Linked DNA regions of Cricetulus griseus. The protein of the gene in region 1 purifies or fractionates together with the protein of each later gene. This does not show direct contact. Links are inferred from orthologs where the notes say so. Each region holds a gene or a part of one and is shown on either strand. Other genes may lie near its edges.

Region 1 (4,289 bases):
AAAGCATTTCTAATGCACTTTTATCCTATTACTAAGCTGAGTTCATTGAAGGAAATACTTTATTTTTTTGGTTCTTAGCATAATTTGTGGTCATGAATAAAATTCTGGTTCTACACAATGCATTTCAGATTGTATTTCCCTAATAATATTATTTTAACAAAGATGGCAACAGGTATACAAATTCCAAATAAAAATACTTAGTTTTATAATATTTGTATTTTTAAAACATGACTACCATTAAGTCATTATTTTCTCTATTGGAGTACCATATATTAAAGGATAAACTTTTCCAACTTTTGGTAAGAAAGTAAGGATAACTTACTAGAAGGCAACCAGAAAGATCAGAATTCCATCTTAGAACCAGTACCAGGGTTTTGAATAAGCATTCTCTTTTTCCAGCCATTTTGTATATTTTACAGATTCAGAAAATACAGGATGTAGTTTTTTGCATATCTTATGTTAAGGAATCTTATTTTAAGATGTGCGACTTTTGTTTATGCTGCATTTGTTTAACTCTGTGAAGCTGTGATTCTTTGCCTGTCTCAAACACCTAATGGTCTAATAAAGAGCTGAACAGCCAATATCAAGACAGGAGCAAGGATAGGCAGGACTGGCAGGCAGAGAGAATAAATAGAAGGACAACTGAGGAAGGGAAGGATCAAGAGAATAAAGAACGGAGGACACCAGGGGCCAGCCACCTAGCCACACAGCCAGACATGGAATAAGAGGGAAAGAAAAGGTATACAGGTATAAAGAAAGATAGGGGCTGGAGAGATGGCTCAGAGGTTAAGAGCACTGACTGCTCTTCTAGAGGCCCTGAGTTCAATTCCCAGCAACAACATGGTGGCTCACAACCATCTATAATGAGATCTGGTGCCCTCTTCTGACCTGCAGGCAGAACACTGCATACATAATAAATAAATAAATAAATAAATAAATAAATCTATCTTTAAAAAAAAAAGAAAGATAAAAGCCCTGAGGCCTTTTTTTTTAAAAAAAGAAAGATAAAAGCCCTGAGGCCAAAGATAGATGGGATAATCTAGCTTAAGAAAAGCTGGCAAGAAACAAGCCAAGCTAAGGGCAGACACTCATAACTAAGAATGTATTTATTTGGGTGCTGGGTTGTAGTCCCCTCGAAAAGACAAAAGAGTAAAACATTTCACACTACAATTTCACACTTTGAGATTTAGGAAGGGATAAGAAAAACTCTAGAGACACCTTACTGGTTTCTCTATAGGTCGTAATTGCTCTTTGGGTCAACGGTGAAGGAAGTCTACCTTCTTTAGTGGTTGATTTTAGCTAAAGAAGATCTGTGTTGTTATGGAGTTTTTTTGTTTGTTTGTTTGTTTGTTTTTGTTTTCGAGGCTGTTAAAATCACCATATCTCCTTCCTGTTGGCCCAGATGTCCTGTCACAGTCCCAAAGGCTGTGAATGGCTGTGATACATTGGTTGGATTTATAATGCAATAGGAGACACCCCCATCTAAGGTCTGACAAATCACTCACCTGCTAATCCCCTTGTAAACTGTGGCATAAGAGCCTTCACCCAGCTTCTCCAAGTTCAAATAAGATGAGGCTGCCCCAAAAGGGAGGCTCTTCTTCTGCTTATGGGGTAGGGTGAGAGGTGACAAGACAAAAAGAGCACTTCAAAAATAATGTTGACTTGTCTTTTCCCCAGGAGCATTAGACAGCCTGTGTGTACGGGGGCGGGGGACCCACACAGGCATCCCTGAAGGTGGAGGCCAGCTTCCCTAGACAAGCACCCATGACATTCTTCTTGATGCCTGTCAATGGCTCACTCACCCATGGCAACCCTTGCCTCAGATTCTCTTCCTGAAAAGAGTCACTGTTACTCCGGGGCCTTTTGCTCTCCAGCTTCTGGTCACCAGGGCCCTGGAGTCCCCTGGGGTGAAATGAAGACAAGGAACACGTTGCTCCTTTTATGTCTGTTAGCTAGAGGAAAAAGAAAGTACGTGTACAAACTCAATTTGGTGGCTGGCAAAACCCTTGTTTTGTTTTATTTGCCTGTTTGCTTGTCTTATTTTATTTTATTTTTCTAAGCTCCCTCCACCCTCTGAAGGCACCTCTCCTGGAAATCAGGTGCCTTAGAGATCACCATGATACCTATCGCTGAAATGCCAAGTTTCTCCTTCACCTGCACAATTTCACCCAGTCTCCTTGATGGATGTTTTCCGATTTCTCTGTTTAACTCGGTCTCCCCCATGCCCACCCACGTTCCTACGTACTTAATGGAATGCCAGAATGATCCAGTAAGACACTGCTAATCATCATGAGATAATTACTGAACCCGAGAATCCACAGCGGACCTACCAGTATGGCAGCTTGCCCTCTACAGTTCAGCCCTGCCATTTAGTGGCTCGGAGATGGCCAGAGGAGAACCACTTTCTCTATTTCAAGTCAAAAGAGACCAAAGCCAAAGAGTATTCCCCTCTCCTGGTTTACAAGCACACCCCAAAACTTGATAACTACGGCCATAAATCCTCTGTGACTTTAATAGAATTTTCTTTTTATGAGTTTAGACCTACCGCAGAGGAATCAGACACTGCTACAAAAGGGAGCGTCTGCCTGAATTGCTTGGTTTACCAATAAAGAAAGATGCTCCTCCCGGGATCCAAATACCTCGAACGCAGCAGCCTCGGTGCTCCCAGGCTGGCTTCTCTGACAGCTGTGCGCCTCCCCTCTCTCCGAACGGTGGTAGCAACTGCATCCTGGCTGTCTCTTTGCACACAGCTCCTGACCCATAATAGTCCAGGTTCAAGTGGAAAACCCGCACTTGAACCTCTCCCCATCCGCCTCTCCAGTTCTCTTTCACTCCCTTTTTTGCCAGAGGTCAGCAGAGTGGAGCTTTCGTATGACTCACACGAGGGCTCTGTCTGGAGCAGCCTCATGACTTCAGCAGTTTTTGCTTATCAGTGCAAGGAACTACGCATCAAAACCGCAGCGGCTGGTGTTCATGTGTGCATACCCGAAAACAACGAGGCTCTTATTGGAGAGAATACATCAGGGTACACTGACTGCTATTACTCCAGGCACAAGTCAGTGCTGAGGCGACACCCGCTTTTCGGGAATTTGCACTGATGCATGTTTCTTGGGCTCCCCTGGTAGGGGCCAGCTAAGGAGCGTTCCATCCCTTGCTTTCATCCGAAAGCCTTTTGGTTTTCAAACTTTTTTTACTTTTTTTCATTTGAGGTAATAGCCCATCTATCCTTGAACTCGAAGCAATCCTCCTGCCTCAGCTTCTCCAGCTCTGGGATTGCAGATGTCAGCCACCTCTGCAATCTGACTCAGGTTGGTTTTCCAACATTAGAGCAAATTTGCAATCTAGCCAACTTTTAGAGTCAAAGAAACCACAGAGTGTGGGATGGGAAGGAAGCAAGGATTCCTCCTCCACCTCTGCCTCCAAGTTAAAGTACATCTCATATTCTGACAGGGCAGTCATTCATTCATTTATTCAAGCACAGTGTAATAAACATCTATGTTGGTAATACTCCACAGTGATGAGAGTCAATGGTGCAGAGAGTAGTTTGAGTCAGGTGTGTGGACACTTGAAATCTCAGTACTTTGCAGGCTGAAGTAGGAGGATGGTGAGTGAGGTCAAGACCAGCCTGGGCTATGGAGAAAGATTCTTTTTCAAATAAAGAAGAAACAGAAGAAGGAATGTGTATGTGCCCATAAGGTATCTTCCCATTTCCCCCAATTCCTTCCATTAAATATGTATACATATACATATATATTTAATGTTCAGGGTATGCAAATACTATATTAGTACTTGGCATTTTCAGGAATCTGGATCAGACTGCAAAGCAGTCTGTGATCTTGGGCAGAACTTTTGTTCTGTGAGAGACTCATAACACCATTGCCATTGTTGTATGCCAACCATAGGGTGTAGGTAGGCTACATGCACACATGTACAAAAATTTCAGGCATGCGCACTGTCACTGCTTCCCTGTGGCGAAGAGCTGCCAGTGAGAAGCTGATTGACAGCGAGAAGACCCTGTGCCTGTCCCAGCCTAAACAGAGGACTCAGACTGAAGCTGCAAGACCCTCAGGCCAGCTCAGAATGGCTCATCCGACTGCATTGACCTCCTTCTTCCCCTTCTGTTTCCCTGGGCTTGTGTTTACCGCTCCTCTTTCTCTCCAGTCTTCTTTTCGGGGACGCTGGGTTAAGACAAATGGTAGCCTCTGTTCGTTCGTTCGTTCGTTCGTTCGTTCACTCACTCACTCACTCACTCATTCATTCATTCATTCATTCATTCATTCACTTACTTA
Region 2 (3,651 bases), on another chromosome or scaffold:
ATGAGCTTCCATAGAATGCTAGGAATTGAACCCCAGGGCCTTGACCAGAGCGGCCAGTGCTCTTCATCACTGAGCCACTCTCCAGCCTCAGTATTCATTTTCTTAACTATGCCTTTGATACAGTTTGACTTTCTGGTTTTTTTGCTTGTTTCCTGCACACTTAAAGAGAATTTCTGAAACTGTGTAGTCATTTCAAACACATTACATGATTGCGAATCAGTCTAGGGAACCGATAGTAAGTGGGGACCCTTTGCAGAAGTCTCTGGACTTCCTGTTTTGAAAACACATTCAGACTTGATCGACCAAAAGCCACAACAAATGTACTGATAGCTTCCTCCGAGCTAAAGACACCGCACTTGAGGAGGAAGGTGATCACCTAACAATAAACTTCAGAATTCCCTCCCCCGCCAAATCTGTCAGTCTAAAGATGTGCTTACCTTGTGCATGGGCAAGAACTCCTGTGCTCAGCAGATCTCTAGTGAGAAGTTGGTCTAAATTCTGTTTATTTTTGGAGGTTCTGGGGCTTGAACCTCAGGCTTTGTACCTACTGGGCAAGTACTCTGCCACTGTGAGCTACCCCTATCCCTCTCTTCACTGTTTCTTGTGAGATAGGCCACAGTGTATGCTTCTCCGGCCTCAGCCTTTTGAGTAGCTAGGCTTAGAATAGATACCCAACTTCCTAAAAACCCAGTTCCTTTAGAAACATCACCTTTACTCTAGAAAAACAAACAAAACAAAAAAAAAACAAAACCATGGGCCTCAGTTGTGCTCCCAAACCTCTGGTGTACATGTATTTTAAATTTTTAAAATAAAGTTAAGTCTTTTTTTAAAAAAATGGAAGCGGCTGCTGGCAGTGCTCACAGCTGTCCAGCTGGATGCCTCTCACACTACACTCAACCTGGTTTTTTCACGCTACCTGTGCACTGGGGGTGGGGTGGGGGAGGTATCTGCAAGTTAGCTATTATTTTATTTAGAACATTCCAGAAGTGGTCATCATAGATATTAACAAGTGTGGGAAATAAAACAAGAGGCTCTATGCACACCCTGAGATCCAGGCTGCAGCCCTTGCTTTGAAGGAACTGACTCAGGATTTGGGTTGACAGCCGAGGGAGCAACCAGCGTGGTGTTCGTCCTGGAGGTTGTCCTGACTCTGCTGACTGAGGCCCTGCTGTTGATAGTCAGAGTCCCTCTGACTTATCAGGCCTAGGCTAAAGGTGCTGGATCAAATGGTTAACCACAGGAATTAGCATTAAAGGTGGCTTCTAGCTGAAACAGAATCATAGACCTTCAGGCCTTTTAGGAGACTGCTGAGATCAGATAAGGGTGGTGGAGGGAGTTGGAATTGGGTCTGTGTTTGGAATTTGACAGCTGTCATAGGACACATAGTTAATGTGTAAGAGAGGGTGGATTCTCAAGACTCTGTAAAGCAAGTTACGTAGTTACTTACCCCACATCAGTTAAGCAGCCTAAGAACTTTCCAGATTATCAAAGAGGAATCGTGGTGACTGTTGCACTGGCTCACAAGCCATTTTTCTTAGTGAGTAAAAGACCTTCGAGAAAGGCATATGGAACATGGGCATTAAAGGTAGTTGGGCTGGGGTGTAGCTCTGTGGTTGGTTGTTGCACAAGTCCCTGGGGTCAGTCCTCACCGCCATACAAAGTAATTGGAACAAGATGTGGTGCCGGCCTGTAATAATATAATAAGAAAGCACTTGGAATGCAGAGGCAGGAAAATAAGAGTTCCAGGCCAGCCTGAGATATATAAAAAGACTGCCTCAAAAAAAAAAAAAAAAAGAAAGAAAGAAAGAAAGAAAGAAAAGAAAATCTAACATGAATGTATCATTGGAGAAATGACATTCCAGGCTTGGCATTATTATTGGTTTATTTATTTCACCCAAGCATCTGAACCCAAGATACTGTTACAAATGGTTAAGCCATCGTTGTATATTGTCAGGACTAGATGCGTGGCATTCTCCTTATTGTGTGTTTAAATAAGCCAGTATATCCTGACCTTGTGTCACAGGTAAGAAAACTAGTATTCATTTAACCTAAAACAGAAAAATATTCTTGTTCTTAAACTTTCACACTGGGTGGGCAAAGCTTCTAGAAGACACTGTGTGTGTCTTGTGGACAGAGCTGCACTGTTGGCCGCTCACTTGACAGGCAGTGCTGAGGGGTGGCTTGTGACTGTTCTGTCTCCTCACCCTCAGTCCACCTGGAAGGCTGCTGTGGTGGAAGGATGTTTGATTGCAGAGATGTGGTGTTCATTGTTGGTGAAGGAGAAGACCACGACATTCCCATTGGAATTGACAAAGCCCTGGAGAAAATGCAGAGGGAAGAGCAGTGTGTTTTATATCTTGGACCACGGTAAGAAGCGCCCGTTTCCGTATGCAGTGTAGCTGTCTGAAGACCTACTCTCTCACTCGGTGCTTTTGCTATCACAGTGAGGTCATTGCATTGAGTCAGGTGGTAGTCGGGAAGTTTGTGAGCGGTTGGCTCAGCTCAAGTATGTTTAAGAATAGGGCAAATAAGCCTTGTTTTTGATTTGTTCCTATGCCATGGTGCCACATCAGCAAAGATTGGCTGGTCCTCTTTTCTGTCCTCTGAGTTCAGCAGGAGAGTGCTGAGAGCTGAAGTAGGGCATGATTTACTACCCCTTGAATGCATGCCACATTCTTATATGGAGTCCCCGAAGGAAGAAAAAACCAGCTTGTTCTTCCTGGATCTAAAGACAGCGGAGATGACTCATTTTTGCCTAAATCTTTCCCGTCATAAGGATAGCCATTAGCACTTCCAAGCTTAGAACTATCCGGCACTGACAGTCTCTTGTGAAAACATGTTTTGTATTATTTTTGGTCTAAAATTGTACCATAAATTCAACTCTTCTATCTTGAGAAATGGGCCCTGAGAGAATCCAGGGATGCCTGCATGCAAGAGCATCTCCTTGGCCAGAGTGGCCTCACGGGCTCACAGATTGCAACTGGCAGATCTGAGTTCTGAGACTCTTCGGCCTGCCCTCACCCCTCAGGGGTCCCTGACAAAACGCCAGTGCTTGTCTATAATCCTGTTCCTCAGTAGTTTTAGCCATGCCCACACTTCCTTGAAAGTTCTTCTAGAATGCTCTGTCCTGATCCTAAAGCCATTACGAGGCCCCTTTGTCTGCTGCCTTTCTCTCAACCCTGTTCAGTGCTGCAGTCCTGCTTCAGGGTTTCAGTTTGCAATGGGCTGTAGTTCACTCTACCCTACTTTTTGACTGAAAACTTTTTTTCTCTTTGCAGACTTGCAGAGCAGGTACTTCATAGCCTACAGTCTCCAATCTTTTTTTTTTTTTTTTTTTTTGAGATATCTTCTCACTTTGTAGCTCTGGTTGCCCCAAAACTCAACTGTGTAGACCAGGCTGACCTCAAACTCTGCCTGCCTCTGGCTCCCATGTGCTGGGATTAAAGTTTACTAATCACTTCTAATCTAACATTCCAAAATTACAGGAGCTCCACACTCAGGTGGCGGCTGTCTCAGATATGCTTTCACAGTTGAGCCCTTAAGGATAAGTTCTGTAAAGTGTAACCATTCAGGGACACATGACCCAGATCTGTAAGTCTTAACCCAGCTGGTAAGATAGCAAAGCAAATCAAACTGCTTTCTGTTCATTAG

What was found. The genes of interacting proteins can lie anywhere in the genome.
Region 2: the proteins of Cdk15 (region 1) and Fkbp5 purify together in Homo sapiens (affinity purification with mass spectrometry; 3 studies listed by BioGRID and IntAct, counting the BioPlex papers as one, with this or other methods). This does not show direct contact. The link is inferred for Cricetulus griseus from reciprocal best matches to the Homo sapiens genes CDK15 and FKBP5.

What each region holds. Positions count from the first base shown.
Region 1 is NC_048595.1:413,523,882-413,528,170, reverse strand, and holds the start of Cdk15 (cyclin-dependent kinase 15), read right to left. Parts: upstream 2,865-4,289; 5' UTR 2,763-2,864; coding exon 2,640-2,762; intron 1,953-2,639; coding exon 1,803-1,952; intron 1,604-1,802; coding exon 1,506-1,603; intron 1-1,505. UniProt on the Homo sapiens protein: Serine/threonine-protein kinase that acts like an antiapoptotic protein that counters TRAIL/TNFSF10-induced apoptosis by inducing phosphorylation of BIRC5 at 'Thr-34'.
Region 2 is NW_023276806.1:233,539,738-233,543,388, reverse strand, and holds part of Fkbp5 (peptidyl-prolyl cis-trans isomerase FKBP5), read left to right. Parts: intron 1-2,210; coding exon 2,211-2,367; intron 2,368-3,651. UniProt on the Homo sapiens protein: Immunophilin protein with PPIase and co-chaperone activities. Component of unligated steroid receptors heterocomplexes through interaction with heat-shock protein 90 (HSP90).